Sus scrofa: one gene and its partners. The protein of the gene in region 5 binds, or shares a complex with, the protein of the main gene of each other region. Links are inferred from orthologs where the notes say so. Each region holds a gene or a part of one and is shown on either strand. Other genes may lie near its edges.

The links.
Region 1: NUP85 (region 5) and CETN2 share a complex: the UniProt entries of both Homo sapiens proteins name them as parts of the nuclear pore complex. The link is inferred for Sus scrofa from reciprocal best matches to the Homo sapiens genes NUP85 and CETN2.
Region 2: the proteins of NUP85 (region 5) and NUP205 are in contact, whole or in part, in a cryo-EM structure (PDB 7TDZ), measured with the Xenopus laevis proteins. The link is inferred for Sus scrofa from reciprocal best matches to the Homo sapiens genes NUP85 and NUP205. Residues at the interface, in XP_041431608.1 of Xenopus laevis: Ala86, Glu87, Glu88, Ala89, Ser90, Gly91, Lys92, Ser93, Arg94, Lys95, Pro156, Pro239, Met240, Gly245, Thr246, Gln247, Thr248, Leu249, Thr250, Glu251, Phe252, Glu253, Leu254, Lys255, Trp256, Gln257, His258, Trp259, Pro315; in XP_041443600.1 of Xenopus laevis: Glu1477, Cys1480, Arg1481, Cys1484, Asp1485, Ser1517, Gly1518, Tyr1519, Leu1520, Lys1521, Val1522, Val1524, Asp1525, Ser1574, Gly1575, Gln1582, Gln1638, Gly1641, Gln1642, Gln1645, Val1648, Leu1690, Asp1691, Ile1692, Gly1693, Leu1694, Asn1695, Asp1696, Gly1697, Ser1698.
Region 3: NUP85 (region 5) and CETN3 share a complex: the UniProt entries of both Homo sapiens proteins name them as parts of the nuclear pore complex. The link is inferred for Sus scrofa from reciprocal best matches to the Homo sapiens genes NUP85 and CETN3.
Region 4: NUP85 (region 5) and NUP188 share a complex: the UniProt entries of both Homo sapiens proteins name them as parts of the nuclear pore complex. The link is inferred for Sus scrofa from reciprocal best matches to the Homo sapiens genes NUP85 and NUP188.
Region 6: NUP85 (region 5) and NUP160 share a complex: the UniProt entries of both Homo sapiens proteins name them as parts of the nuclear pore complex. The link is inferred for Sus scrofa from reciprocal best matches to the Homo sapiens genes NUP85 and NUP160.
Region 7: NUP85 (region 5) and E3 SUMO-protein ligase RanBP2 share a complex: the UniProt entries of both Homo sapiens proteins name them as parts of the nuclear pore complex. The link is inferred for Sus scrofa from reciprocal best matches to the Homo sapiens genes NUP85 and RANBP2.

Annotation. Positions count from the first base shown.
Region 1 is NC_010461.5:123,902,925-123,907,724, reverse strand, and holds the start of CETN2 (centrin-2), read left to right. Parts: upstream 1-1,678; 5' UTR 1,679-1,732; coding exon 1,733-1,831; intron 1,832-2,736; coding exon 2,737-2,895; intron 2,896-3,150; coding exon 3,151-3,279; intron 3,280-4,316; coding exon 4,317-4,454; intron 4,455-4,800. UniProt on the Homo sapiens protein: Plays a fundamental role in microtubule organizing center structure and function. Required for centriole duplication and correct spindle formation. Has a role in regulating cytokinesis and genome stability via cooperation with CALM1 and CCP110.
Region 2 is NC_010460.4:13,767,399-13,771,417, forward strand, and holds part of NUP205 (nuclear pore complex protein Nup205), read right to left. Parts: intron 2,992-4,019; coding exon 2,849-2,991; intron 2,497-2,848; exon of another isoform or gene 2,462-2,496; intron 1,186-2,461; coding exon 1,014-1,185; intron 1-1,013. UniProt on the Homo sapiens protein: Plays a role in the nuclear pore complex (NPC) assembly and/or maintenance. May anchor NUP62 and other nucleoporins, but not NUP153 and TPR, to the NPC.
Region 3 is NC_010444.4:97,590,253-97,594,816, reverse strand, and holds the start of CETN3 (centrin-3), read left to right. Parts: upstream 1-1,496; 5' UTR 1,497-1,618; coding exon 1,619-1,635; intron 1,636-3,433; coding exon 3,434-3,569; intron 3,570-4,564. UniProt on the Homo sapiens protein: Plays a fundamental role in microtubule-organizing center structure and function. As a component of the TREX-2 complex, involved in the export of mRNAs to the cytoplasm through the nuclear pores.
Region 4 is NC_010443.5:269,307,897-269,311,915, forward strand, and holds part of NUP188 (nucleoporin NUP188 homolog), read left to right. Parts: coding exon 1-96; intron 97-1,148; coding exon 1,149-1,352; intron 1,353-1,498; coding exon 1,499-1,591; intron 1,592-1,953; coding exon 1,954-2,112; intron 2,113-2,375; coding exon 2,376-2,513; intron 2,514-3,105; coding exon 3,106-3,498; intron 3,499-3,601; coding exon 3,602-3,733; intron 3,734-3,985; coding exon 3,986-4,019. UniProt on the Homo sapiens protein: Component of the nuclear pore complex (NPC), a complex required for the trafficking across the nuclear envelope. Required for proper protein transport into the nucleus.
Region 5 is NC_010454.4:6,083,077-6,087,095, reverse strand, and holds part of NUP85 (nuclear pore complex protein Nup85), read left to right. Parts: intron 1-963; coding exon 964-1,098; intron 1,099-1,201; coding exon 1,202-1,324; intron 1,325-1,534; coding exon 1,535-1,666; intron 1,667-1,916; coding exon 1,917-2,023; intron 2,024-4,019. UniProt on the Homo sapiens protein: Essential component of the nuclear pore complex (NPC) that seems to be required for NPC assembly and maintenance. As part of the NPC Nup107-160 subcomplex plays a role in RNA export and in tethering NUP96/Nup98 and NUP153 to the nucleus.
Region 6 is NC_010444.4:14,838,358-14,843,055, forward strand, and holds the start of NUP160 (nuclear pore complex protein Nup160), read left to right. Parts: upstream 1-1,698; coding exon 1,699-1,704; intron 1,705-2,134; coding exon 2,135-2,456; intron 2,457-2,722; coding exon 2,723-2,834; intron 2,835-4,698. UniProt on the Homo sapiens protein: Functions as a component of the nuclear pore complex (NPC). Involved in poly(A)+ RNA transport.
Region 7 is NC_010445.4:47,530,553-47,533,305, reverse strand, and holds the end of E3 SUMO-protein ligase RanBP2, read left to right. Parts: intron 1-30; coding exon 31-365; intron 366-749; coding exon 750-1,058; 3' UTR 1,059-1,944; downstream 1,945-2,753. UniProt on the Homo sapiens protein: E3 SUMO-protein ligase which facilitates SUMO1 and SUMO2 conjugation by UBE2I. Involved in transport factor (Ran-GTP, karyopherin)-mediated protein import via the F-G repeat-containing domain which acts as a docking site for substrates.

The DNA of each region.
Region 1 (4,800 bases), on a different chromosome or scaffold from region 5:
CCCTTCACTGATCAAGGTCCTGGAATGCCAGCAGTGAACAAAACAAAGATGCCTGCACCCATATGGCTTCCCTTCTAGTGGATGGGCAAAGAAGAACAAAATAAATAAGGATACAGTTATAAGTACTAGGGGATAAAAACAGAGAAAGGTGTAGGGTTTGGGTGTTCTGGGAGATGCAGGGCTAAATAGGATGCTTAGGGTGGCTCACTGAGAAGGTGACAGTGGAGCAAAGACCTGGAAGAAGGAAACAAGTAGAACAAACAGGCAGAAGAGATGGTTGGAACAAAAGTTTGAAGGCAGGAGTGTGTCCGTGCATTTGAGTCCATCAAGGAAGCTAGTGTCCTGGGGCTGGAGCAGCCAGGGGAGAGGAGGAAGCATGTTGGGATGGGCCTTGCAGAGCATGGTGAGAGCTCTGGCTTGTACCCACAGGGGGGCTGCTGCTGAAGGCGTGAAGTGGGACAGGAGCAACAGAGGTGGAAAAGAGAAAAGAAACACCCTTTAAGGAGGAAGCTGACAGAAAGTGGAGGCTAGTTAGTGGGGCCAGGGCAGGAAGAGTCAAATAGGACCAAAAGGTTTTGGACTCGGCTTGTGCTCAAAGAGGAAGAGGGTAAAGGGCAGAAGTTCGGCAAACATTTTCGCTTAATGAATGTCAATAAATCTCAGGCTTTCTTCAGCCTGAGAAACTTATGCTCTGTCCCCTGCTTCCCAAAATGCTGTGCCAATGCCCAGAGGTGAAGCAGGTAAGGGCTGAGAGGCAAGAAGTGCCCTTACACTGGGCTGGCTAAGGAAGGCAGACCTTGGACTTCCAGGGCCACTGTTCCAGCTCCCTTTCATCTGTTACCGTGGCACACGCCCCCTTGTAATTCTCTGAGCAAGCCTCACCTTTCCAAAACGGCTCTGTGACTTTGCTCATGAAGTGTCCCCACCTGGAATACTCCTCACTATCCGCCTTGAGTGTTTGGTTGTCAAAATGAGTATATTTTGATGATCTGTCCCCTTTATGCTCACTCAAATCTCCTTCACTCCCTTCAAAGGCCGTTCCTAGGCCCCCAGCTCATCTTCCCGAGCTGCTTTTAGCCAGGTGAGAACTAAAGTGATCCTATCTTGTTATCTATTTGGGGTGGGACGGACACGCCCAAAGAAAGAGCCTCAGGTGGATGAATTCAGCTTCTAAGTCCCAGACGTCCGAATTTCTGTGATAACGCCCGGCCTCTGCCTTTCCTTCTCCGTCTCAGTTGCCCCGTAAATACATCCTCTGCTCCAACACGCAAGGTCACGGTCTTCTCTGGCCCCTCTGACCCTAACTCAGTCTTAGTCCAGACCAGAAAGTCCCCGACCGGGTGAGGGCTTGTTACCTTTTCGAGCCCCGCGAAAGGCCCCACCCAATTCCTTGCCTTTCCAGTCCTATCGCCAACCCAAGAGCGAGGTCGCAACCCTTACCTGTTGGTAGGTGCCTCCCTGGCCGGCCTCAGCGCATCGGTAGCCTACAGCCTCAGAGCTCCAGGCGCCAGCAACCACCTGTTTCTCCCCACCCTTATGAGGCTACTATCAGCCGAGGCGCCTCCACCAAAGGGATTGGTGCTGGCTCGGCCAATCAGCGCTCGCGGTGTAATCCTGCCCAATAAGGCCAGGCCGCGCCACAATGCCCTGCGCCCTGCGTCAGGCCTCCGTCGGGTTAGTCCCACCCACTCCAGCACTGTGCCAATGGGGAGCTGCAGTCATCTGTCCTCCAATGGGGTGCAAGGCCGCGCGCAGGGGGCGGTGGGAAGGGCGCCGAGTCGGTGTGTACGTCCGTTGCCGTAACAACGGGAAGCGGAGTCCATCGGCGATGGTGAGTGCTTGTTACCCTTTCGAACCCTGTGTCCAGAAGCTGAGCCCTTCACAGGCCTTGGCCTGGCCCCGCCGTCTCTCCTGCGCGGTTCTCGGCTTTGGCGCACTCTTTCCTCTGAGCGCTTCCCGGAAGGGTAGGGTAGAGATCCTGGCCGCCCTGCTGGGCCTGCGATTAGCCGCTGCGTCCCATTCAAGCCACAGCTGGCCCCTATCCGTCCTTCGGGCTCCCCTGGCTCCTTCGGTGACCACCTCTGGTCAAAACAGACTCGGGCTCTTCGCACACCCCGACCACTTCCAGACTCTGGCCTCCTGGCCGCCTCTACCAAAGTTTCTACCCAGAGCCTAGGGGAAGTTTATTGTGTTTGATTGTTAATGTGCATTTAAAATGTTAAATATTGGGACTTCGGAAACGCTTTGACCTTCTTGGGGAAGGCTCAGATGTGCCGAGGGGATTGAGTTTTATTATTCGATATTGACAGAATATACATCTTAACTTAGTATTTGGCCAAATTAGAAGTAATCAGAAAATCTTATAACTTAGAGCGAAGCAGAATAGCGTTCTAAGGACATTTTTAGATTTAGGGTCCCAAATTCAGAGAGAGCTGATTATCTGTACATTTATCCAGAGTCAGCTCCTTGGCCAGCTCTCTTTTTAGATGATTTCAAATAAGAGATATCCAAAAGAACAAAGGATCTCCTTCTAGAAACAGTAGTAAAGAAGAGGGAGGGATAGAGGTGCAGAGAAAGAGTATTTGCTCTTTTCACTAAACGCTGTTATTTCTCCTGTTAGTTTTGGAATTCGTTGGTATAAACTATTTTAAAAGTAGATAGGATTGTAACATATTTATGTAAAATATGTACCCTATTACATAATACCGTGCTTCTCTGTTTGTGAAACATATAAAGGCCTCTAACTTTAAGAAGACAAACGTGGCATCTGCTGCCCAGCGAAAAAGGATGAGCCCTAAACCAGAGCTTACTGAAGAGCAGAAACAGGAAATCCGAGAAGCTTTTGATCTCTTTGATGCTGATGGAACTGGGACAATAGATGTTAAAGAACTTAAGGCAAGCCCTGTACATTCCTGCTCTGCTGCCTTGACTTTTCTCTGCCTCTTTCTCTTCTGTGCTGTTTTTCTGTCTTTATTTACCTCAAGTATTATTAAACAAAATTGAGTGCAAATATCAATTTGCTTAATGTTATAGTGTTTCCTAATTATTTTAACATGATTGTGTCAGATACTGGCTTAATGCTCTCAATGCTGTCATTTTTTGCCCCTGGGTTTAGATGTACATATTGAGATGATCCTGTTTTCATTGCAGGTGGCAATGAGGGCACTGGGCTTTGAACCCAAGAAAGAAGAGATCAAGAAAATGATAAGTGAAATCGATAAGGAAGGGACAGGAAAAATGAACTTCAGTGACTTTTTAACTGTGATGACTCAGAAAATGGTAGGTTAGCTAAGATGATGGGTGTATTTTCCACCAATAATGGTGGACAGATTTGAGTCTAGATATGAAAGTGTCTTTTCACCCATTGGTCCCTTTCTCTTTCATTGGCCTCCTGGCTCCTCCTCAGTGTGGCTCATGTACATTCTACTGGCCCGTGGAAAAGTAGCTCCATCAGTGCTTCAGCTGTGCTTCCCAAGGCACAGGTCTCTTCCCACTCTAATAATCCTGTTGCTTTGAAATCATCTAATCACACCCATATTTTTCTTCAGGGACTAAGTTAAGAGTTCAGGAAGCTTTTCCTCTTTTCCTCTGTCAGAGTACCTGGGATTCTAGTAACTCTTGGTGCTCTCATAAGTGAAATCGCCTTCTCTTTCCTCCCTGCTCCCCTCTGCCCCCAAGAGGATCCCAGCTTAAGCAGTGGAATTTCCTCTAAACTTAATCCCATCATCTGCTGCTGTATTTTATTTATTTATTTATTTTTTTGTCTTTTGTTGTTGTTGTTGTTGTTGTTGCTATTTCTTGGGCCGCTCCCGCGGCATATGGAGGTTCCCAGGCTAGGGGTTGAATCGGAGCTGTAGCCACCGGCCTACACCAGAGCCACAGCAACGTGGCATCCGAGCCGCGTCTGCAACCTACACCACAGCTCACGGCAACGCCGGATCGTTAACCCACTGAGCAAGGGCAGGGACCGAACCCGCAACCTCATGGTTCCTAGTCGGATTCGTTAACCACTGCGCCACGACGGGAACTCCTGCTGCTGTATTTTAAAAAGCAGTCTACTTTTCTCTTCCATTTGTATAGAAAATGTTTTAAGTGCAAGCCTTTATATTTCCTTCTTAGCCTCTGGGATTGTACCAATTTCATGTTTGTCCCCTCTCTCTACGCTGGTTGATTTTTGATCTTCTGTGACCTAGCACCAATGTCATGAGGCCATGTGGTGCTGTTGTGGCAGGGCAGAGGGGATGGTGCTAGGGTTGTGGGACACAGGTAATTATGAGTCTCTTTACTCATGTGTTTTTTATGTTCTACTTGTTAAGTCTGAGAAGGATACCAAAGAAGAAATCCTGAAAGCTTTCAAGCTCTTCGATGACGATGAAACTGGGAAGATATCGTTCAAGAATCTAAAACGCGTGGCCAAGGAGTTGGGCGAGAACCTCACTGACGAGGAGCTGCAGGTGTGTGATGTGTCAGCCTGGAGCCCTGTGTGGCTTTTCCGTGTTATGTTTTCTCTAATGCTTTGGAGGAAAACTAGCATTCTCTTGTCCCTCTAGTGACCATTTAATTTCTTTTTCAATAGTGTGGCAAACGTATGGGCGCTGCTGCCTCACGGATAGTTTTACTTACTATTTTAGGTTTTAGGCGTCTCCCTGGTCAAGATGATCTTCGAGCTCAGGTGATACATGTGTGGCAAAGGATGGCTGGGTTTTCAAATAACTTTTCGGGAGGCAAGCTATTATAAGAAGCAGCATCTTGTAGTGTGTGTGTGTGTGCGGGGGACTACAATTGTCTATTCAGGTAGCA
Region 2 (4,019 bases), on a different chromosome or scaffold from region 5:
TAAAAAAATAAAATAACCACCTGTCTTCTACACGTCTCCTCCTTTATAATTAAAATCAACTACTTATTTTATGGAAATTTCAATCTTTTCTCTTTTTTTTTTCTTTCTTTCTTTTTTGGCTATGCCCACAGCATGTGGAAGTTCCTGGACAAAGGACTGAATCTAAGCCATGGCAGTAACTCAAACCTCAGGAATGACTCGAACCATAGCAGTGACAATGAATCCTTAACCACTAGGCCACCAGGGAACTCCCAATTCTTTCGCTCTTTCTGCAACTCTCCAGCTTACAGCCCCTGCTAACAACTTCCCACTGCAGTCAGAACAGCTCACCATTGCAATTTTCATGGCCTGCAAGCCTATGATCTGACTCTGGCTCTGTCCTTGTCTTCCTTTACTCTCCCCCTCATTCTCGATGGTCTCTTATCCTTCAGCATGTCTTTCTTCTTACCTCAAGCTGTCTGCTCTCCCTGGAACATCCCACCCCAACAATTCTGGTATCTTGTCATCACGCAGGTGTCAAGACAAAAGTCCTAGTCTCAGATAGGCTGTCCCGAAGTACCCCACGTACAGCTGCCCCCTACTAGCCCACATCTCTCTACATCCCCCTGCCTTGTTTTATTTTCTTCCTAGAACTCAGTATTATTGAAATAATCTTATTCTTTATTTGAATCAACCCCTCAAAAAAAATTCCAAAAAAGAAGTAATACTACCTTCTTACTCATTATATGACAATAAATACTTTCTACTATAAAACTTCAGAGATGCAGCCAGTTATTTTTTCCTAAGCAACAACCACGGAGAAGCCTATCTTGAAACAGTTAAAGTTCCTTTAACAACTCTGCTAACTAAAACCTTCCGATTGGTCGAAGATAAACAAAAGGAAATATTTTGAATAAGCTACATCCTTAGAAACCATTTTAGAATCTAAATGATATAATACTTCAAATTACAAGTGAATAAACATTTTATATTTATGTATTACCTTAACATAGGTTCATTAAGTGTCAACCTACCAGCAAGAAGAAGTTCAACAGCTGCCAATTCTCCAATATCAAAAAGGTCACTGAGGATAAAGGCCTCTTTAATGAGCTGTTCAGGAAGAAGTCGGGTTCCCTGTTGACCCTGGATGGCAACTCCCTCTGTACTGGCTTTCTGAACCTTCTCATGTTGTTGAACATTTTTTGGCTACAACAATGAAAATAAATAGAATGAATAAATAGAATCATGCAATGAAAAGTGCATATTAGAGACAAGGTACTAAATTGTTACTGGAGGAGTTTCCCGTGTAGCTCAGTAGAAACGAACCCGACTAGTATCCATGAGGATATGGGTTCGATCCCGGGCTCCACTTAGTGGGCTAAGGATCTGGCATTGCTGTGAGCTGTGGTGTAACTTGCAGATATGGCTGGGATCTGGTGTTGTGGTGGCTGTGACATAGGCTGGCAGCTGCAACTCCTAGCCTGGAAGCTTCCATATGCCACACCTGTGACCTTAAAAAAAAAAAAAGGTTACTGGAGAAGTTTATTCATAAAGCAGCCTGATATCATGACAAACAGGAATATTTCTTGTGCAATAATATTGTAGAAAACCTACAAGTACATTGTGGTAACATTCTACCTTCAGTTTCTTTTTTTTTTTTTTTTGGTTGCATCCACAGCATATGCAAGTGCTCTGGCCAGGAACTGAACCTGTGCCACAGTTGCAACCTGCATCACAGCTGTGGCGACATCAGATCCTTAACCTGTGCACCACAAGGGAACTTCCTAACTTTTTATATTACTATGACTTTCTCAGTAACCGCTTCTCCTAAACTCTGAACTACAAAATGTTGAGAAATCACACAAACTAGCCTACTGTTTTTCAAGTATCTAAGGAATTTTCCAATTATATCTTTAATAAATATAAAAACAACAAAGTCTTCAAGTGGGAAACAACAAATGGAAATGAAATGTTGAATTAATTAGTAGGGCTGATAATAGCTTATTAGTACGTTATTTAAAAATGTAGTCTTATTTGCAAAAAGGCTTACTTTGTGCAAATATTTAATAAATAACATATAAAATAGAATACCAGATGGATCATAAAAGCTTTAGGTATTTATACCTTGAAAAAGGGCATTCAGTTATTTAATCCAACTCCTCTATTAACAGAAGGGAAAAACTGATGCTCAGATAAGTCAGGTGACTTGCCTGTGGTTATACAACTCTTTAGTGGTAGAGTCGAGACAAGAACTCAGCTCAACTGTCTCTCAAGCTAAGGTTCTTTCTGGTAAGACAAATTCATAAATAGTTCTTAGAGAGTCTTGTTAGTGTATAAAAAACAAAGCTGCCAAACAGCGGGGAAAGGAGTTTCCAAATACAAATCCCAGCCAGTGAAGTACTCAACTCCTGGCTGAAATGTATGTCAAAATGCAGTGATTAATGGTATGTAAGAATTAATTAGTTCAGCTAACACAACTTACATAACATTATGAAGAGTTAAAATGTTGAAGTATACCTGGAAATAAATAAAATAATCAATCTTACTAAGCTTAGTTGGATTAACTGTAAGTCAGAAATTCCAATGAGGCTCTTATTTCTGGAATATACTGAACTTTCTAAATCATATTCAGACATTATTAAGATATCTCCTCGCTAGAGATAAATACAATTTTAATTTATATGGAGAACCAAAAAAAGATAATAATTGCTAAGAAAAATTCCATTTTTAGAAAAAATTTGAATCAACACACTAGAACAAGTAAGATATGTCATTTACATGCATTAAGAATTCCCTTGCTCCATTAGTCTTAAAAAGAAAAAAGAAAAGAAAAAGCAAATCCAAGAAGCATAAAAAGAAATTTTCCTACTGGATTTCTGAACAATGAGATGAAGTCAGGTTTGTGCTTCTTCAGAATCATGTCAAGAAGGTGGACGGCTTCAGGTTGTCTTCTCCAAAGAGCATTTCCCACGGTTTGCCAAATGTCTTTGTAAGGACCCCACAGACTAGCAGCTTAAAGAAAAAAATAAACCAGCATCAAATAAAACATGTATTTGGAAAATATGATAAGGTTATCGTCTGCACATTTTAGTCATGCTCACAGCGACTTTAAAACATAAAGAGTTCTATAGACAAATCAAACATTAATTTAAAAGAATATCAGGGCATTCCCGTTGTGGCTCAGCAGTAATGAACCCAGCTGGTATCAGTGAGGACGAAGGTTGGTTCCCTGGCCCCACTCAATGGATTAAGGAACAGGCTTTGCCTTGAGCTGTGGTGTGGGTCACAGACAGGGCTCAGATCCCCTGTTGCTATGGCTGTGGCCTAGGCTGGCAGCTGCAGCCCCGATTCGACCCCTAGCCTGGGAACTTCCATGTTGGAGGCACAGCCCTAAAAAGCAAAAAAGCAAAAAAGAATATCAGAATCCACAAGCAACAATATCAAGTCACCTAACTTAAAGTAAATCCTGACTTTAAACTAGAACATCAGGGGTTCCCGTCGTGGCGCAGTGGTTAACGAATCTGACTAGGAACCACGAGGTTGTGGGTTCTATCCCTGGCTTGCTCAGTGGGTTAAAGATCTGGCGTTGCCGTAAGCTGTGGTGTGGGCCGAAGACGCGGCTCGGATCCCGCATTGCTGTGGCTGTGGTGTAGGCTGGTGGCTACAGCTCCAATTAGACCCCTAGCCTGGGAACCTCCATATGCCGCAGGAGGGGCTCAACAAAATGCAAAAAGACAAATAAAATAAAATAAACTAGAATGTCAGCTAAACCTGGTTTTGCCACTTTATTAGTTACTTGATATGGAGTGAGAAGATAACCTTTTTACATTTCAGTTTCCTTATACGTATAAAATAGGAACATCATTTGCTTCATAGGGTTGACTGGATTAAATGAGGTAAAAATACAATATAATGTCTGGCATATCCTAGGCACTCAATAAATGTAACTGCCTTTCCTTTCCTCCTTATCCTCCAAATGAAAAGCAGGAATGGGGGGTGATCAGAATCTGTAAAACTGAAAAGCTGAAAAAATAAGTAAT
Region 3 (4,564 bases), on a different chromosome or scaffold from region 5:
TGTGAATGCAGCCACCTCCAAGGCTAAGCTGCTGAGCCCTGAGGGAACTCAGGAAAGAAAGAATACCTGTCACTTTGCAGCCATCAGACTACAGCCACTCCTAACAGCAAAGTGTGAGGAAATTTAGGCTGTGAAAACACGGGATACTGGCCCAGATAGCTAAAGTGCATATCAAAGGAATGATTTTAGTGAGGCCAGACCTCTGGGTCTTCCCAAAGAAAAGGGCTTAATTCTGTAACTTGAGATACCTAGTTTTCGGTAATCTTTTGTTCCTACTACCTGCCCTTTGTTCAAAAAACAACAACAACAAAAAAAAACCCAAAACCCCAATGACAATAAAAAACTTCCTCTATATCCTTATTCCCCCCTACTCCCGCTGCAGAATGTTTTTTTCTGGGTTACTTCAGATGTTTCCTCCTGGGCTTAAGACCTGATTTTGCCCCAAACAAAACTTAACTTTTAGGTTGTGCATTTTTTTTTTTTTTAAGTCAACACATTCTTTACTTATCTAAATTTAGTTCAAACTTCTAGGCCTAACATAAATGCCATCTCCTTCAAGAAGTCTTTCTTCTATCCTGCTGTGTTCTTTCCCTTCTATATATATCTTCCCCCTTCCCCTGTTGGACACTCTCAGGCTATTTTATGAGATTTGCAGTTTAGCTCAGTACTTTGTGAGTTTCCATAGCAAGATTCCATTCAATACAGCAATATTTATTGAGCACCTCTGCATCAGACATTGTACTAGGCCTTAGGAATAGCGTTAAATGAAACCCCGGCCTTCAAGATTAGTAGGAGAGACGAACAGGTAAACACATTAAATACCCCAGTGAGCTTCAAGAGACTTGGTTCGGTAGTGAAGTACCAAAGCACCTCAAAGGAGGTATAGGGGAGCAATTGCCATCTAGGCACAGCTTCACCGTAAATAGCCTAATAATTCAACCCAGTGATTATAAAGGTATAATTAACAGCTCCTGCCTCAGAATCATTTGGATTTTGTAAGGAAAAAGAAAAAAGGCAGATTCACATCTACTAGAATCAGAATGAAGGAAAGTGACACTTAAATCTGAGTTTTAAACAAACTCCCCATGTATTTAAATCATCCAAAATTTAAGAATAGAGTGGAGCCAAATTTCGCAGATCTCATTCACAAGCTACTTCCTCCTCCTAGCAGGACAACCTGCGGGGTGTCTCTTCCCTTCCTGCGCCGTTTCCAGACGTCGTCCACATGCCGCAGGCCTTCTCTCCTGAGGCTTTGGTCAGTCACCCTCAGTCCGAAAAGCCCAGCGGACACTCAGACCCTCGCTCCGCAAAGGATTGGAGGGGGTGGGGGCTACGCTACAGGTCAACCTAAAAGGCGGGAGGGGCAGCAAGAGAGCCGAAAGGGAGAGCTCTTTGATTGACGCGAAAAATGCCCAATGAGAGAAGAGGACTAGTGACGCTTCCGCCCTAATGGGCAAGGCATTAGCTATTTCAACCAATCCAGCTCAGAAATGTCTACCTTGTGGGAGGTCTTGAGGCTGCTTAGGTCGTTGTCTGTTGAACCGCTTGTGGAAGTCGTTCGGCTTTGAGTAGGGGGTTAAAGTCGTTCTCGAGAGGAAAGTCTCTGGCCGAAGAGAAAATGAGTTTAGCTCTGAGGTCGGTAATGAGGAGGCGGCAATGCTCTCCACACCACGCAGCGGGCCCCAGGGTGGGTGTGTGTGGAAGGGAGGCAGCTTGGGGCGAGGCAAGGAAGGGAATGCAGTTTGGGACGAGGGAAGGGAGCCTTGGCCACCTTTCCTGGGCCAGACTCCTCATCTTCGGGGCCCGGGTGAGCTCCGTGCAGTTAGACGGTCATTTCTGTCAGGCCACTGGGCTTTGGACCCCAACAACCTGGGTTGTTATAGTCTCGAGGAGGCAGTGAAATATCGCGAGGTTTCTACGCTCTTGTTTATGTGAACTAGGAAACCAGGCCTTGGAGCATCCTTAGTAAAGTTCCCGTCATTCCTTCGCTTATGGCCTCCACCGCAGCTCCCTTCCTGCTAACATCTAACCCGTAGATTTTAGAAATAACGTAAAGCCCTCCTTGCTTCACTATGTAATAGTAGACCCATTTTAGTGCTTTTAGTTGGTAATCTCTTAGATTCCCTGAGTTTATTTTTCGCTCATTTCCAACCACTAACCTACCATTTGTTGCCTACTTCCCAACTCCGACTAGGCGTGTTACCGTAAAAATACCTATAGAGTTACACCTAACTAAAAAGGTACCGAGTTCTGATAAGGCATAATCGTGGTATCCTTGGCTGGGGTCAGTGGTCGGTGGTTTGCGAACTTGTCCTCTCAAAATCTTGGGAAAAGAATGGCCGACCCCCAGAACGTCCAGGCTTGTGTGAAGTGGGGTCTCCTGTGAAAGCAAGATCTACCTCAGCTTTATCATATCTCTTTTGGTCACTTTCTAGTCATCTCTTGCCTTTTGTGTGTGTGTGTGTGTGTGTGTGTGGTAGATTTCAGAGAACAAAGCAACTTAAAATGCAAACAGATAACGTGTCTAATAAAATCAACTGGGTTTTTACATTTTCTAAGTTTTACAGAATTCTTCTGCTTCAAACTTGCAACCCTATTTGAAAATTTGGAACATCTCAAGATATTTCTGGCTTTTACAATAAATTCCTTTTTTTCTTCAGCCTTTTTCAGGGTTTATGAAAAATTAAATCCAAATGTATATGTTAAGTGAGATTTACAAGACAGTTGACTCCACATTATTATATAGCGTTAGCACAAATATGTACTTTTCTGGTGTTTAATAGTATGCTTAGGCTAAGTTTTTTGGGTGATTGTTAATAATATCAGTGGGAGAAATTGCAAATAAAATGCCAAACTTAAAAATGTGTAATCTAAAAACACTTTTGATCCACAATGCCAAAAGAGTTTATGTTAATTGATGAGTTAGATGTCTTTTTGTAGTAATTTTGATAGTTATTAACACTATAAAAGTAAGCCTAATATGTAGTGATCATCAATTGTGAATTCTTTTTTTTTTTTTTAACAGACATTGTAAAACGAGTAACTATGGGTGCTTTGTTTTTTTGGGGGGGTTCTGATATAAAACTAATGTTTCTTATTCACATTTCTTGTTTCTTCCATAGTAATATTAGTGGAAATAAATAAAAAGCCAGGAGGAAGGGAAGTAAGGTCCTCATTTCTTTAATAACTTAACACTTTTCAGTTTTAGGAAGCACAAGTTTATAGCACCTTAGTCGATGGGAAGAGCAGGGCTTTGACTCATGTAAGGAAAATCTCTTCCTTTCATGTAAGGAAAATACTTCCTTTTTAGAAATTTAGGTATTTATTAATTGGCTAATTTTTTGTATTTTTGGATTCTTATTTGAGTCATTTAGAAGCATAGGAGAATGGGATTAAAGTGCAATAAATAGGGTTTTCTGTCTTCATTTCATAGAAATGAGCTTGTAGTAGACAAAACAAAAAGGAAAAAAAGAAGAGAACTCTCTGAAGAACAGAAACAAGAAATTAAAGATGCTTTTGAACTATTTGACACGGACAAAGATGAAGCAATAGATTACCATGAATTAAAGGTAATATACTCGACCTCTATCTGTTAAAATGATTTGCATATTGACAGTTGATTAAAAATATATTTATAAATATTTTAATTTGGTTTTGGAAATATGAAATCATTTTAAACATTTACCATTAAGTGCTTTTAATAAAATTGAATAGTACTTGTAGCATATCTTTTTAGAAACTCCTTCTCATATGGTAAAATGAATAGTATAATGTAAAAATACATTCCTATGGAGGGGCTTATTTTTCATTCACGTAGTTAAAAAAAATAAAGCTATGGTATTTAAACTATACTTACCGTATTCCTCTTCCCACTTTGGTGTTTCTTCTTTTTTGGTGACATATTTTTCAGATTGAGGGAGTGTTACTCGTTTTTTAATTTGAACATGTTGGTAACAGTCTCATCCTGTTTTCTCTGGTGCAGGAAACATAAGTGATATCTGATGTTGACACAATGCTAATGGGGAAAGTGTCAATTTTAGGTTCTAGAAATATTTATAAAGAATCAAAGGGGAATTGGTATTTAAGGTAGGTTGGATCTTACACTCAGCACAATGAGGAAGATAGTATTCTTATAGCTCTGTACTCACAGTTTCTTTTAGTTACCCAGTTTTGATCAATTCTTTTTTTTAATAATGTTTCTTCTATTTGTTGCTATTGTTATTATATTGGTTTGGGATCTTAATTCATATCTGAAACTTCCTAATTGGTTTCTCTTTTTCCTGTACACTCTCATTAAATTCATCTTTCTAAAATTCTTTCATCATATTATTCATTGCTCATAAGCTTTATTTTGTATACTCCGTAAAGTTCACATTTTTAAAAATTTTTATTGAATGCCCTCCACACTTTTGCTACGACCTACTTTTTTTCTCATTTGCTAACTGTTTTCTTCTACCTAATCTCTTCCTATTCAGGTAAGGTGAACTGCTCTATTCCCTGTCTTCAAGCTTATTCTTTATTTTAGTGTGTATTTTAATACTAGTCATTTTTTTCTAAATGCCCT
Region 4 (4,019 bases), on a different chromosome or scaffold from region 5:
CGCCACAGCCTGGCATCGGGCAGTGCTGCAGAGGACAAGGACAGCATGGAAACTGATGACTGCTCCCGGCCCCGGCACAAGGACCAGCGTGACGGGGTGAGGGACCGCCCTGGGAAGCTGGCTGTCCTTCCCACCTGCTTCCACAAAGATGAGTTGCTGCCCACTCTGTGCCAGGCCCTGGGGGGATTAGTGAATAAGACAGATAGGCACTGCGCTTGCGGAGGTCACAGCCTGGCGGAGGAAGCTGGTCAATCAGATTGTGCAGAGGAGCGTCGGGAGTCCATCCTGGCAAGTCTAGCAGGGGTGAAACACAGGGAAAAGGTGCAGTGTGGAGGTGCCGCCTGATCTAGGGACTCAGAGAGAAGGCGCCCTCTGGGCAGTGACCTGAAGCATTGGTAGAGCCGGGCAGGCCGAAGGCACAAGGAAGATTCAGGCAGCAAGACTAGCACGTGCTGAGCTCATGGTCGCCTGGAGCCAGCCAGGCCGAAGGGAGGCCTGAGAGCGGGGCAGGGACGACCAGCGGCCTCGTCGGCGCCTTTGACCCGGGTCCTCCGAGGACCAGGAGAGGATCTGAGGAGTTTAAGATTAGCCCTTGAGAGAGAGTGCGCTGGGTGTGGTATGTAGAACAGTGTTTTTTCAACCGGGCAGGTTAAGACCTACTAATATCTCAGTTTGGTTACAACCAGCAACTTTTTAGTAAAGTAGAATAAAACATCAAAGAAAATCTGTGTAAGCTTTGCAGGAGGTAAGGGGAGGTACAGTGTGATGAAAACACGCAGGTGTGTGTGCGCTGGAGCGCACTGTGCAGAGTGCCCGCTGCTCCGGGCGGGTGAAGGTCGAGAGAAGTGAAAAGCCCCTGGGGTGAAGAGTTGGGGCAGAGGGATCCAGGACTAGACAGAAGGACCACTCAGGCAGGGAGGAGCGCAGCAGGAGGGGAGGTCGTTTTCACTCTGGGTGGCAGCTGAATCGGGCAGTGGCAGTTTGGGTGCGGGGAGGGAGTGCGGCTGAGAGGGTCCGGTCTCCACAGGCTCCCTGAGGTGTGGCTGACCCCGAGGTGCAGGTGCCCACACGAGGTCTGCCCGCGTCTCTTCCCGCCTTCCCCCGCACCACTTCCTTCCCTTTTGCTCATCTTTGTCTCTGGGCTCCAGCAGGTGTGTGTCCTGGGCCTGCACCTGGCCAAGGAGCTCTGCGAGGTGGATGAGGACGGTGACTCGTGGCTGCAGGTGACCCGAAGGCTCCCCATCCTGCCTACCCTCTTCACCACCCTGGAGGTGAGCCTTCGCATGAAGCAGAACCTGCACTTCACCGAGGCTGCGCTGCACCTGCTCCTCACCCTGGCTCGCACCCAGCAGGTAGGAGGCAAGCCCCAGGGCAGCAGGGAGCCTCTTCGCTTGTGCCGCGTGGCTTCTGACACTGCCTGTGACCCTCCCAGCCTGGGCCTGCCCCCTGTCCCTGGATGGGCACAGCTTCCGTCCCATTCCGCCTCTTTCCTTCCCAGGGAGCCACAGCAGTGGCCGGAGCCGGCATCACCCAGAGCATCTGTCTGCCCCTCCTGAGTGTGTACCAGCTCAGCACCAATGGGACAGCACAGGTGAGAGCCAGTGGCCTGCCAACGCCCTTCCCCAGCTCCCGGGTTGCTTTCCTTAGCGGCCTAGTGAAGGCGCCGTGGTTCAGAATCCTCCCTGCCCGCTCAGCGGTCTCTAGCGAGAGCAGTCACAGCTAGGAGGGTCGGACCCACGTCCAGAACCTGGGATTCCTGTGGCTCTGTCTAGTGCTGTTCCCTTGTCACTGCCACCTCCAGACCCTCGCCGGCCCCGCCGGTGCCCCTTCCAGGAGGTTTCCCCCTCCTGGAAGCCAGGCTGCCTTAGCTGCTGGCCTGCAGGGAGGCCCTCCTGTCCCTCTCGGCTGGGCTCCTTGGCACCTGCCACCATCGTGCCTGCCGTTGTGTCTCAGACGCCCAGCGCCTCTCGGAAGTCCCTGGATGCCCCCTCGTGGCCGGGTGTCTACCGCCTGTCCATGTCTCTGATGGAGCGGCTCCTCAAGACGTTGCGCTACAACTTCCTGACCGAGGCCCTGGACTTCGTGGGGGTCCACCAGGAGCGCACCCTACAGGTGAGAGGCTGCCCGCGTCTCGGGGGTCGGGGCTGTTCAGGGCTGAGGCTGGGGTCAAGGATGCTGTACGGAGTGCCGGCTGCCCCAGGCCAACCTGCCAAGTGCGGGGCATGGGCTGGGATCAGCTCAGCTGGAACCTCTTGGTCAGAAACCTTAGTCATAACGCCATGCCACCGGGTGCCACCACCTCAGCGTCTGAGGGCAGGAGCAGGTGCGGCTGGTCCCTGTGTCACCTGGTCTCTCCCTGTGTCCCCCTGTCCCAGTGCCTCAACGCGGTGAGGACTGTGCAGAGTCTGGCCTGCCTGGAGGAGGCGGACCACACTGTGGGCTTCATCCTGCAGCTGTCCAGCTTCATGAAGGAGTGGCACTTCCACCTGCCCCAGCTCATGCGGGACGTCCAGGTGGGCCTCCGCCGCCATCCCCCGGCGGGTCTGGGGACACACTCGGGGGCGGGGCGCTGAGGGAAAGGCGGGCCTGTTCCTGGAGTGTGGGCTTTTTGCCCAGGTAGCACAGGGTTTGGTTTCACGTTGCTTCCTCCGGAAGGGCAGCCTCCTAGGCTGAGAACCTGGGCTCTGTCCCGTAGATTCCCATAGCTGGGAATCAGCCAGAGAGGGCAGGGGAAGAACACAGCCTGGCGTTTGCTGGTTGTGTGACCTTGGCCAGGTCACCTCACCGCTCTCTAAGCCTGTTTCTTCTGTAAGATGGGAAAGTCACCCCCACCTTATTTATTCACTTGGGACCTTAGACTGTGTCCGACATGCATCTGGGTCCCAGGGAGTCGGTCCAGGCCTCTGTTGAGCCAGAGTTAGCACGTGAGCACGCTTGGCAGCAGTGGTGATTTTGAGCCTGGGAAGGTAGGGAGGTGAGCACTGTAGGTGCTCTGGGAGCGGAGAAGCACGTGCTTGGCACGTGGAGCCCGGCTTGGGTGGTCTGGTCAGTTGGCTGGGCTGCTGCCACGAGGACCCTCTCAGCCCTCCCCTGGGTTTGCTGTAGGTAAACCTGGGCTACCTGTGCCAGGCCTGCACCTGCCTCCTGCATAGCCGCAAGATGCTACAGCACTACCTGCAGGTAACCCAGCCCCACCCGCCACTGCCGCCTGGACCGCCTCACCCCTGGCTTCTCTGGGCTCCAGCTCTTGTCTCCTCCCTGCAGAACAAAAATGGGGAGGGCCTCCCCTCGGCCGTTGCTCCCCGGGCCCAGCGGCCCCCCACGGCTGCCCCTTCCTGCTCCTCCTCCTCCTCCTCCAAGCAGCCCACGCCCGACACAGAGGCCGCGGAGCAGCGCGCCTTGCACGCGGTCCAGTACGGCCTCCTCAAGATCCTCAGCAGGACCCTGGCAGCCCTGCGCCACTTCACCCCCGACGTCTGCCAGATCCTGCTGGACCAGGTAGTGGCCCCAGTGCGCCGCTGAGGCGCGGCCGTGCCCCGCGCGGCGCCGAGAGCTGCCCGGGCTCCGGCAGGGCCTCGACGGCTCTCGTCTCGCCTTGCAGTCCCTGGACCTGGCGGAGTACAACCTCCTCTTCTCCCTGAGCTTCACCACCCCCACCTTCGACTCGGACGTGGCCCCCTCCTTCGGGACGCTCCTGGCCACCGTCAACGTGGCCCTCAACATGCTGGGAGAGGTGAGCTGGCTCTGGGCGGGCCCGCAGCCCAAGCGCCTCCCAGTCAGCCTTTCCCGGGCGCCACCTCGCGTGCGTTTGCCCAGCCTTCCCAGCCTGCTGCTCCTCCCGAAGCGAGAGCGGTGGCGCCCGTGGAAGGACGAGTGTGGGGTCCAGGGAGGCAGCTCGTAGACTGCTTAGCGCAGGCGGCGCCCTCGGGGAGGTGCAGCTTCCACCGAGCCCTCGTTTCGTGTAACTCCTTGCTTCTCCCTCCAGCTGGACAAGAAAAAGGAGCCCCTTACCCAGGCCG
Region 5 (4,019 bases):
GTTCGATTCCTGGCCTTGCTCAGTGGGTTAAGGATCCAGTGTTGCCGTGAATTGTGGTGTAGGTTGCAGACACGACTCAGATCCTGTGTTGCTGTGGCTGTGCTTTAGGCTGGCAGTTACAGCTCCAATTAGACCCCTAGCCTGGGAACCTCTATGGCCGTAGGAGCGGCTCTAGAAAAGGCAAAAAGACCAAAAAAAAAAAAAAAAAAAGTATACATATATATATATATATATCTTGTTGATTCATTAGCATTGAACTCATGGCCAACAGCCCTGTAAACCTTGTCTGAATGAAGCTCATCTAACATGTATATTCTGACATGATACATGGCACGTTATAGCCTTCTTTGCACTTAGCACTGAGCGGCACTTCAGCACAACGCTTGGGGGCCCAACAAAACGCATGAAAATGTAAAAAATACGGCGCTAAATAGATCGCAAAAAAGATACTTATTTAGTGTGAGAGCTGATACCAGAAGGTGGAACTCCAGTTGTTCAGCCTCAGCTGGTAACGTGTGTATCAGGTGACTCACATTTGTTGCCCCTTTCTGGGCACATGTCCAGAAATGATGGTGAAAGCACCTCAGATATTGACTTGGGGGTTACAAATAAATTTCAGCAGGCAGCCGTCTGCACAGATACGGAATCTGACTGGAGAGGCTCAGTGGTAATAATGTTGATTGTATATGTGCATGTATGTATGTATTTGAACTCAGAGTTTTATGAACCAGTACTTTATTTGATGCACTTGGAATTTTTTATTTTATTGTGCTTATTTTTAAAAAGTTACAACCTCAGTGGGTTACATGTGTGGTTTGAGAAGCATGGTACAGGTTCAAACTGTGAGACTCAATGAATCCGATTACCTCGGGAGCTTCTCCAGGGCTAGAAAGCCAGAGTCTGGGCTTAGGGGACTGGCTTCTGAGCCTGCCGTGAACGTGTGTGTCCTTGGGTGTCCTCCAGGTGACCATCCTGGTGCTGCAGGGCCGGCTGGACGAGGCCCGGCAGATGCTCTCCAAGGAAGCCGACGCCAGCCCCACCTCTGCAGGCATGTGCCGCGTCCTGGGGGACCTGATGAGGACAATGCCCGTTCTCAGCGTATGTGGGAGCGGCTGGCCTCTCCCGGGTCCTGGAGATGGGGTCCTGCAATGAGAATAAGGGGTCGTGTGCTGACGGGCTCGCTCTGTGTCTCTTGCCGTAGCCTGGTAACACTCAGACGTTGACCGAGCTGGAGCTGAAGTGGCAGCACTGGCACGAGGAGTGCGAGCGGCACCTCCAAGATGGCACATTCGCCTCCAGTCCTCACCTCGAGTCTCTTTGCAAGGTCTGTGGGAAGCAAGTCCAGGTCGGGGCCCAAGCTGGCTTTCCCTGGGGACCGCAGCATCCAGCGCAGCAGCGGCAGGAACTTGGTCCTTGGACAGGGCTGTCAGCTGCGTCTGGAAGGAGAGAGCTTTCAAAGCTGGTGCTGCAGCCGAGATCAGGAGGTGATGTAGCAGTCTCGCCCAGAGCTAAGGAGTCGTGTCTCTCTTCTCAGATCATGCTGGGAGACGAAGCTGCCCTGTTGGAGCAAAAGGAGCTTCTGAGTAACTGGTACCATTTCCTAGTGACCCGGCTCCTGTACTCTTGTCCCACAGTGAAACCCATGGACCTGCACTGCTATGCCCAGGTGAGCCTGCGCTCCCCGGAGTGCGCCTGGGGCATAGGAACCCTGAGGTGCCGCCCCGCCCCCGCTGGGTCATTTTCACCCCTTGGCCTCTTGGAGTTGAACCCCCCTGGAGAACAGGAAGGGGCTTTCCTTGGGCGCTTTTTGCAGGACCCCGTCACCCTTCCCCAGGGTGCCTTACCCAGCAGCCCTGCCTGCCCCCTTGAGTCTCTGCTGGCATCTGGGGATTGAATGGGTCACCCCCTTTCCACAGTCCAGCCTGGACCTGTTTCTGGGAGGTGAGAGCAGCGCAGAACCCTTGGACAACATCTTGTTGGCAGCCTTCGAGTTCGACATCCACCAAGTGATAAAGGAGTGCAGGTAGGCCCTGCTGCCGCCGCCGGCGGTACGGTCCGCGCGGGACCGCCCTCGCAGCCGTCCTCGCCTCCAGTGCCTCTGCTTGCTGGTGTCTCAGCTTTCTTCCCACAGACCTGCTGCCCCTGTGCAGCCACATGTGGGCAGGTCATGGCTTCTCTCTGGAGAGCTTGGGGCCCTTCCTGAGGCTTGACGGCTCTTGTATTTGTAACAGTTTCCATTTCAGGGATGTTTACTTAACATAACGTTGCAGGAAATTCCTTTGATATTTAAAACCTAGAATTAACAGACACTAAGCGGATTCTTGGAACCCAACGAACATGCAATCACCGTAAGGGACGGAGCTCTCAACAGTCTCACTCTCTGGTGAGCCAGGGTACCACACCTTCGGCCCTTGATTGGGTCTGTTCAGAGCAGGGATTCTGCATCAGCCCGCTCCCCAAAAGGGTATCTTGTCATTACACTGAACCTTCAGCAAGGCAGGAAAGGAGTGTGAAATGTGATCCAAGGTAGAGCTTTCCAGAAATTTGCACGTTGTAATAAGTCAGAATTTACCTTCCCGGAGTTCCTGTCGTGGCGCAGTGGTGAACGAATCCGACTAGGAACCATGAGGTTGCGGGTTCGGTCCCTGCCCTTGCTCAGTGGGTTAAGGATCTGGCGTTGCCGTGAGCTGTGGTGTAGGTTGCAGACGCGGCTCGGATCCCGCGTTGCTGTGGCTCTGGCGTAGGCCGGTGGCTGCAGCTCCGATTCAACCCCTAGCCTGGGAACCTCCATATGCCGTGGGAGTGGCCCAAGAAATAGCAAAAAAAGACAAAAAAAAAAAGAATTTACCTTCCCTTGTGCAGTCTGGAGAGTGGCGTTGCACCAGTGACGCCCAGAAGAAAGCTAGGAACGCAGCAGGTGGCCTTGCTCACGTATCAACTCATTGACCTTGACTGAACCTACTTTTTTTGGTAAATCAGGGCAATGGGAAGGGTTCCCCACCTGCTGCCATCTCTTCCTGTTTTGGCCAAAAGAGAGCCAGGGCTTCAAGAAAATGCTCTTAGATTTGGAGAAAGGAAAACGGGTTTTGTGTCAGCGTTCTTTTCAGAGACTTACAGAGACTTTAGTTGGTGCCTGAAGACAACTTCAAGAGTTTGGCTGATGGCGGTGGGGGTGGGGGTGGCATCTGCCTGGAGCGGGTAGTGACAGTAACTTAGAAAGGCACACACGTCATTATTTCACTTTGTCAGTGTCTCTGCCTATAGTTTAAAGCAACAGTCTTGCCCGACGCTTGTCTGTTAGTGGCAGTGGGTTATTTCCTCCTGGGCCTCCTTCCTAAGCCACATACGGCTTTTAAGGAACAAAACAGAGTTGAAAAGAACGAGGAGAAGAATAATAAAAAGGGAAGGTACTTCGTTCTTTTCAGTGGCAACAGAAGGAAAAGCTAGAGAAGTGTCAACAGAGAGGGTGGCTTTTGTGAATCCACAGGTTACGGCATCACTCCAACGCCAGTCGCAAAGGAGGAAAGGTCGGCTTGTAGCCCCTCAGTCTGGGCGCCTCTCTGCCCCGGCAAGTAGGACAGGGTCTGAAGCTTCTGTTGGCACTGCATCTAGGAGCTTGGGCTTACCTGAGCAGGAAGCCATCTCCTAGCCCATTTCGAAGGAGGCCCTGAAAAGCGCGTCGCGGGACCTCATCCCACGGTTTGGAAGCAGGGCCGAAGTCTCTTCGGAGGGTGTTAGAGGCGGAAGGACTGGATTTGGGGTCTTGTGGGCATGTGCTTTCTCTTGGGTTGTGCCGGTCAGGCCCGAGCTGGGCCCGGAGGGGAGGGGGCACGTCTCTTTGGAGCTGGGCCAGTGCGTTGGTGGGACGGGGCGGCCTGGCTGATGCAGATGTGATGTCAGCTGGGGTCACGGCTACCCTGTGACAGCGGAGTGAGGGCGCTCCTCTCTCAAGGCACTGGAGGGGAGGTTTCTGCAGGGCAGACCCAGAGGGGCAGCGGGGACTCCCGAAGTGGAGTACA
Region 6 (4,698 bases), on a different chromosome or scaffold from region 5:
TTGGGGTGGTAGGGCTAAAAGTTCCAAACCTCTAATCAAGTGGTTGTTTCCCCTGGCAATCACTGCCCCCGCCCCCAACCTCAGGTTACCTAGAAACTTTCCAAAAATGACTTCATTAACATAACATAGGATAGTCATCCTCTTATCACTAAGGGAATTACAAGAGTTTCAGGTTCTCTGTGACAGGAAGAGGGACAAAGACCAAATATAATGTTCTTATTATAAATTACCATCCCAAGGGATTCAATTGTGAGGGTGGAGCCCTCACGAAAAAGGGATTGGTGCCCTATTAAAAAAAGACCCTACAGGGAGTTTCCATCATGGCTCAGTGGGTTAAGAGTCTGACTAGTACCCATGAGAGTGCAGGTTCAATCCCTGACCTTGCTCAGTGGGTTTAAGGACCCACTTTATCCCATGAGCTGTGGTGCAGGTCGCAGATGCAGCTTGGATGTGGCACTGTTGCGGCTGTGGCGTAGGCCAGCAGCTGCAGCTCCAATTGGACCGCTAACTTGGGAACTTCCATATGCCACAGGTGCAACCATAAAAAAGCAAAAACAAACCAACAACAAAAAAAATCCCCACAATTTAAGGACACGGCACAAGAGATGGCTGTCTATAAATCAGGAAGCTGACTCTCACCTGACGCTGAATCTGCTGGTCTCTTGATTTTGGACTTCCCAGGCTCCAAAACTGTGTGCAGTACGTGTTAGCTGTTTAAGCCACCCAGCATATAGTATTTTGTGAAACAAGAAGAAACAAAATGTAAGTGGTGTTTAGGAACAGTTAGAGTGTATTTGTAAAATGGAGAGGCAGGGAGAACAACAGCAAAATAAGATCAACTGGAGTTGTTTCCATTATCTAAGAATGAAATGTGGAAGACTGTTGAGGAAAAGTATGAATGTAAAGGAAAGACAAGAGAATGTTCCTGATATCTATTGCTGGCTAACAAATTACCCCAAACTTAGTGACTTTTGACTCTCTCACCAGACATCTCTCACTTTAAGTAACTTGAGAGCCCTTCCATGTGGTCTCTCCCCATGATTCCTCCAGGATGGCAACCCCAGGATAGCTGAATTTATTAGATGGCTTCCCTCCTAGTTAGCACTCCAAGAGAGAAACAGACTCTGTTAAGGCTAGTCTGGGAGTTTCTGTCCTGGTGCAGCGGAAGCAAATATGAGCAGGAACCATGTGGTTTCCGGTTAGGTCCCTGGCCTCGCTCAGTGGGTTGAGGATCTGGCGTTCCCATGAGCTGTGGTGTCGCAGAGGCGGCTCGGATCTGGTGTTGCTGTGGCGGTGGCATAGGCTGGCGGCTACAGCTCCGATTGGACCCCTTGCCTGGGAACCTGCATGTGCCGTGGGTACGGCCCTAAAAAGGACAAAAGACCCAAAAAAAAAAAAAAAATTAAAAGGCTAATCTGGCACAGAGTCACTTCTGCTGTGTTCAATGAGTTACAGCAGTTACAGAGCCCTCCCAGATTCCAGAGGAAGGGACAAAGACCCACCTCCTGATGGGAAAAAGTCAAAGAATTTGTGGTCGTCTTTAATCTGTCATGTTGATACATGAGATTTAGACTAACTTTCCCCTTGAAGACTGGCATTTTCCTCCAAATCCAGCATCTACTCTGCCCTAAATGCAGGTAAAGCACAAGACCTTCCAAACAGATCACAAATGGAAGATAAAGGAAATTTCTTTCACGTATGCAAGTGAGTAGCATTTAGGGGCTTCAAGCAGGTAACTGCATCAATGTTTAATTAAACACATTATGCTTCATTATACAAGAACACACGAATACAGTCTCTCGAAAAAACCCAACACAAAAGGCCACTCTGCCCTTCACTCCGCCCCCAACCCACGTCGCTGAAAGGTGAAGAAAAGGAGACCAGGCGGAGATTCACTGAGTAACACGGGGAAGCAAGGAGAGGCGATCAAAAGCTCGAAATCCAGTAGATGGCGCCCATCTGCGTGGCCTCCTAGGACCTCGCCCCTCCCTGGAGGCTCTGCCCAGCCGCTGCCCGCGCCGGAGTTTTTAAAATGGAAACAAACCCGGCTCCGCCCCCTTCCCTGAGGCCGCCGGGAAAATGGCACCGCCCCTTGGGGCTTCCTCGCCGGACACGCAAAGGTTCCTGCAGGTAGATCCTGCAAGCTCCCCCTGCCTCCTCTCATCTGGCTTCCTCCTTGCCCACCCTGTCTCCGGCCAGCTCGGTGGAAGCCTCACAACGGTGGGTCGGACAGGCCCTAGACCTTTCCGGGTTTCTTCACCTGTCCGCATCTGTGCTTGCTCCGCCCCCGGAAGTGACGACAGCCGCCCGGCTGGGCTGGTGTCCCGTCAGGCCTCGCGGCGGCGGCGGCGGGAAGATGGCGGCGGCGGGAGCCATGGAACGGAGCTTCGTAGAGCTCAGCGGAGCTGAGCGCGAAAGGCCAAGGCACTTTCGGGAATTCGCAGTTTGCGACATTGGTACGGAAGCATCCAGTAGGGCTCGATGCAGCTCCTGCCCTCGGGATCTTCCCGTGGATCCCTAAATCTCTGTCCTCCAGTTCATCCTCCTGAGCCCACATGCCTCCAGCCCCGGATTCAGAGCTTCATTAGTGTTCTACTTCTTTCTCTTTTTTTCCCCTTTTTGCATGGATTTTCAGTCTGTCACCCTCTGCTTTCTCAGCGCCCTCAGTCCGTGTCATCCCCTGAGAACCACGTGTGCAAGGGTGACCACTCTTCTTTTGCAGGAACTGCAAATGCAGTGGCCGGAGCTGTGAAATACAGTGAGAGCGCGGGAGGCTTCTACTACGTGGAAAGTGGCAAGTTGTTCTCCGTCACCAGAAACAGGTTCATTCATTGGTAAGTGCTGTGTTTGTCAAATCTCCCGAAAGGGCGTTTTGTTCGGCGGCTGAATTTTCGTGACTGTTCCCAAGGTGTCGTTTATTCTCCGAAGTGGTTATAGACAGGAAAAGAGAAAGACTGTTTCCTATTGATATCTGAGTCAGTGGAAAATTAAGCAGGCACAGAGTTCTGGAAGAGGTGCCCTCCCTGGCAGCACTAAAAAGAAGAAATGTAGCTTCGAGGGTAAAGCCCCAAAGATCAGTTCTAAGCATGAAGCCGTTATATTTTTATAGTGCTTTAAGCTTCCTTCATTCTACAAATTAGTCTTGAGTTTTTACATGTCAAGCACTGCTAGGTGTTCTAGGAGTGCAGGGATGAACAAAAACAGTCTCCATTTTCATCCTGCAAGATATAGTAGTGTAAGAATAGATGTGGACACATCTTTCATGGGGCAGTTTTGAGAAGGAAAAAGACATTAAGCTGGAGTTCCCTTGTGGTGCGACAGGTTAAGGATCTGGCATTGTCACTGCAACAGCCCAAGTTGCTGCTGTGACACAGATTCTTTCCCTGGCCGGGGATCTTCTACATGCCTCAGGTGTGACCCCCAAAACGCCATTAAGCTAATGACCCCACATAAGTATGTAAATGAAGTTTTTCATACTTCCCTCAGAGGAAAAGTATGAGAAGCTAATGGGAAAATCAGATGTAATTGGCGTGTCTGGGAAGGCCTGAAGTAAGTCACATTTCATCTGAAGGAGGAAAGGTTAGCTAGGCATGGAGTTGGGAGAGAGAGCAGTTTAGCAAGTGGGATCACCAAATGGAGAGTCCACAAGGTGGAAAGAACTTGACAAATTTGAAGAACTGACTGAAGCTCTGTGCGGCATAAGTGCATTGGGCAAAATGGAAAGTGATATGAGTGATGCTGAGACTAGGGAGGTAAGCAGGACTCCGATCAAGAAGAACCCTCAGGTCCTTTTCAGGGATTTGGGATTTTTATCCTAAGTACATTGAGCAGTCATTGGAGAGTCTTAAAGTGTTACTAACATGGTCAAAGTCACACTTTAAAATAATCAGTCTACTTTGTGGAAAGTAGACTTGGATTGGATGGGTACAGTATGAAAGAAGAATTTGCTTTCATGGTGAACCAAGTAAGATATGCTGGTTGTGGGATTGGCTAGGGAAAGAGAATTAGATGGACTCAAGATACACGTGGAGTTCCTGACAGGCCCCCGGGTTCCCATGTGGCTTAGCAGGTTAAGTATCCAGCAGTTGTCACTGCTGTGGTGTGGGTTCATTCCCTGGCTCGGGAACATCCACATGCCTTGGGCGCAGCCAAAAGAAAAAAAAAAAGATACACTTAGAAAGTAGCTTCAGGAGTTCCCGTCGTGGTGCAGTGGTTAACGAATCCGACTAGGAACCATGAGGTTGAGGGTTCGGTCCCTGCCCTTGCTCAGTGGGTTAACGATCCAGCGTTGCCGTGAGCTGTGGTGTAGGTTGCAGACGCGGCTCGGATCCTGCGTTGCTGTGGCTCTGGTGTATGCCGGGGACTACAGCTCCGATTCGACCCCTAGCCTGGGAACCTCCATATGCCGCGGGAGCGGCCCAAAGAAATAGCAAAAAGACAAAAAAAAAAAAAAAAAAAAAGAAAGTAGCTTCATTAGGACCTGGTAGTGGACTGAATATGGGGTACAGAATGGTGAGGGAAAAAGGGAGCAAGGACAACTCCCTGGTTTCCCATATGACTAACCAGATACTGACATATGGAATATGGGTTTGGGAGAGATGTAAATAATTCTTTTAGGAGTTCCCGTCGTGGCACAGTGGTTAACGAATCCGACTAGGAACCATGAGGTTGCGGGTTCGGTCCCTGCCCTTGCTCAGT
Region 7 (2,753 bases), on a different chromosome or scaffold from region 5:
ACCACTGTTTTGTTTGTTGTTGTTTGATAGATGGAGAAGCCAAAGTGGAACAGCTTGCAGTGAGATTTAAAACTAAAGAAATGGCTGATTGTTTTAAGAAAACCTTTGAAGAATGTCAACAGAATTTGTTGAAACATCAGAAAGGACAAACATCACTAACAGCAGAGTTATCAAAGGAGACAAATCCTGTGGTGTTTTTTGATGTTTGTGCAGATGATCAACCTCTAGGACGCATAACCATGGAATTATTTTCAAACGTTGTTCCTCAGACCGCTGAGAACTTCAGAGCACTGTGCACTGGAGAGAAGGGCTTCGGTTACAAGCACTCCATCTTCCACAGAGTGATCCCAGATTTTGTTTGCCAAGTAAGTCTTCAGTGCACCTCACAGTGGGGGTCTAGAAAGGGACAGCACACCTACCTGGGCAACTTGAGTGTTTCTCAGTTTTTCCAGACTTCCTTCCCTTTTCCACACAGCAGTTGGTGTCCCTACCCCAGCTTCTGTCCCAGCAGAACATTCAGTCTAAAAGGGTTCATATTTCTAAATGCCTTGAACCTGCCAGAAATTGAGGTGGGAAAAGATCTCTTCCATTTTTATCCTCCTTCATAAATGCACGGTGCTCAGTTTTCAAACTAACAAAGCTTAGGTTCGCAGCGAAGCTGGGTGTTTAACACCTGTCCTTCAGTGGTTAGTTCTTTATGCATTTTAACAGTGTCTTTGGGATTCTTGTTAATTGAAATCTCTTTTCAGGGGGGAGACATCACCAAACATGATGGATCGGGAGGACGGTCCATTTATGGAGATAAATTTGAAGATGAAAACTTTGATGTGAAACATACTGGTCCTGGCTTACTGTCAATGGCCAATCGAGGCCAGAATACCAACAATTCTCAATTTTTCATAACACTGAAAAAAGCAGAACATTTGGACTTTAAGCATGTAGTATTTGGCTTTGTTAAGGATGGCATGGATACTGTGAAAAAGATTGAATCATTTGGTTCTCCTAAAGGGTCAGTTAGTCGAAGAATTACTATCGTAGAATGTGGACAGATACAGTAAAATCATTGTTTCAGTAAATTTTTCTTGTATAAACCGTTGAATTAAAGCCTAGCTGTTATGACAATATGGTAATTATGTTCAGCTTTTGAAAATGGACGTTTCCAATGTATAAATGTAAAATTGCAGCTTATAGCTGTTGTCGCTTTTTAATGTGTTATAATTGACCTTGCATGGTGTGAAATAAACGTTTAAACACTGGTGTATTTCAGGTGTACTTGTGTTTATGTACTCCTGACATCTGTATTAAAGTGGAATAATACTTATTTTGTTCAAAGCAATAGACCTTCTCAAACTATTGAAGGATATATATGCAATTTAATTTTAATTCCTTTTATGATATTGGACTTCCTGCATGAATATACTTACTGTTTGAATAAAGGGACCATGACTTGGATAATTTTTCCTTTAGATTTGGAATATATTTTGTAATTTTAACTATTGGTGTGCTCATTTATGAATAGAGATTCACTTGTGAATGGATGGAGCCACAGAGGGTAGAAACTTAACCAAAGTGCTCTTCTATAAATTCTTGCACATCCTGTATAGTTAAATTAACTTTTAAGCAAAGTAACTTCTTTCCTTAAAAAAGATATGAAGCTTCCAAGGTATTAAATTAATTTTTACATTTTAAACAAGTTGATTATTTACATTTTTAGAAAAAAATCTTTGTCATCTGTTTCTGCTACCTCAAACTGCACTTGGTTCTGAGAGAACTTGAATTTTTCCTTGCAGTTATTGTGATAAAGTATGCATATTTTAAAAAGGTCTATACCATGTTCTTTGGTTAAAGATTTGCTTTATACTAGATTGTTGCAGTACCTTTTTCTGGTGAATTTTTGTAGCAAAAATAAAGTGACAATTGTTAACAGCCATGGCATTTAAAAAATTCATTGTGCATCTAGTTGTTTGTTCATTTTGGAATCAAATGAGGATAATTAGAGATCTGTAAACTCAAAAGTGCCATGTAAATTCCAGAGTTCCCAAGGACATGACTTTTCAAGTTGGGTAGACATTGAAAACTTGGAAACGGCTAGAGTCACAATTCGACACAAGGGGGAGATGTACTCATCTGACTACTCAGTGTAGCACTGCCAGGACAAGTTAGCACACAGGTTGCAACTTAGAATCGCTGCCAGTGGCTGCTATCTGCCTTCCTGTGTTTTTCCCAGTGAGGTCGCCTCATTTGTGTAGGGAGGGGCTGTGGGGTGGGCTCACTTGAGGTTCTCCTCCCTGGAGCTGGTGGGCGGCGCTGACCCTCAGAATCAAGTGTGTGTATGTTTGAGTATCTATATGCGTGTGTCTGTTTTTTATGTGGGTGCGCGTCTGCGCTGAACCTGCTTCTCAGCGGGGACTCGGGTTTAGGGGAAATTACAAGTAAAGGCAAGCACACCTGAGATTTCTCGCTCTGTAAACAGATTTCCGTGGCACCTTGAGCATTACAACTGTGGACTGAAAGATGTGGAAACGGATACTTTTAACCAAAACCGACTCTCTAGGATTGCTGTTCACAGCTGTTTCCAATGGGCAGCAGCATCTTTGACACAGACCTGTCGGTCAGGAGCCAACACGTGGGGACAGAGACTCAGCCCGACCCCGCCCGAATGCGGCCCAGGTGCTCCGGGCGCAGAAAGGGAAGAAGGGCTGATCTTCGATCCACAGGCATCACACCCTCTGGACCCAAGAGCACAAACGGAC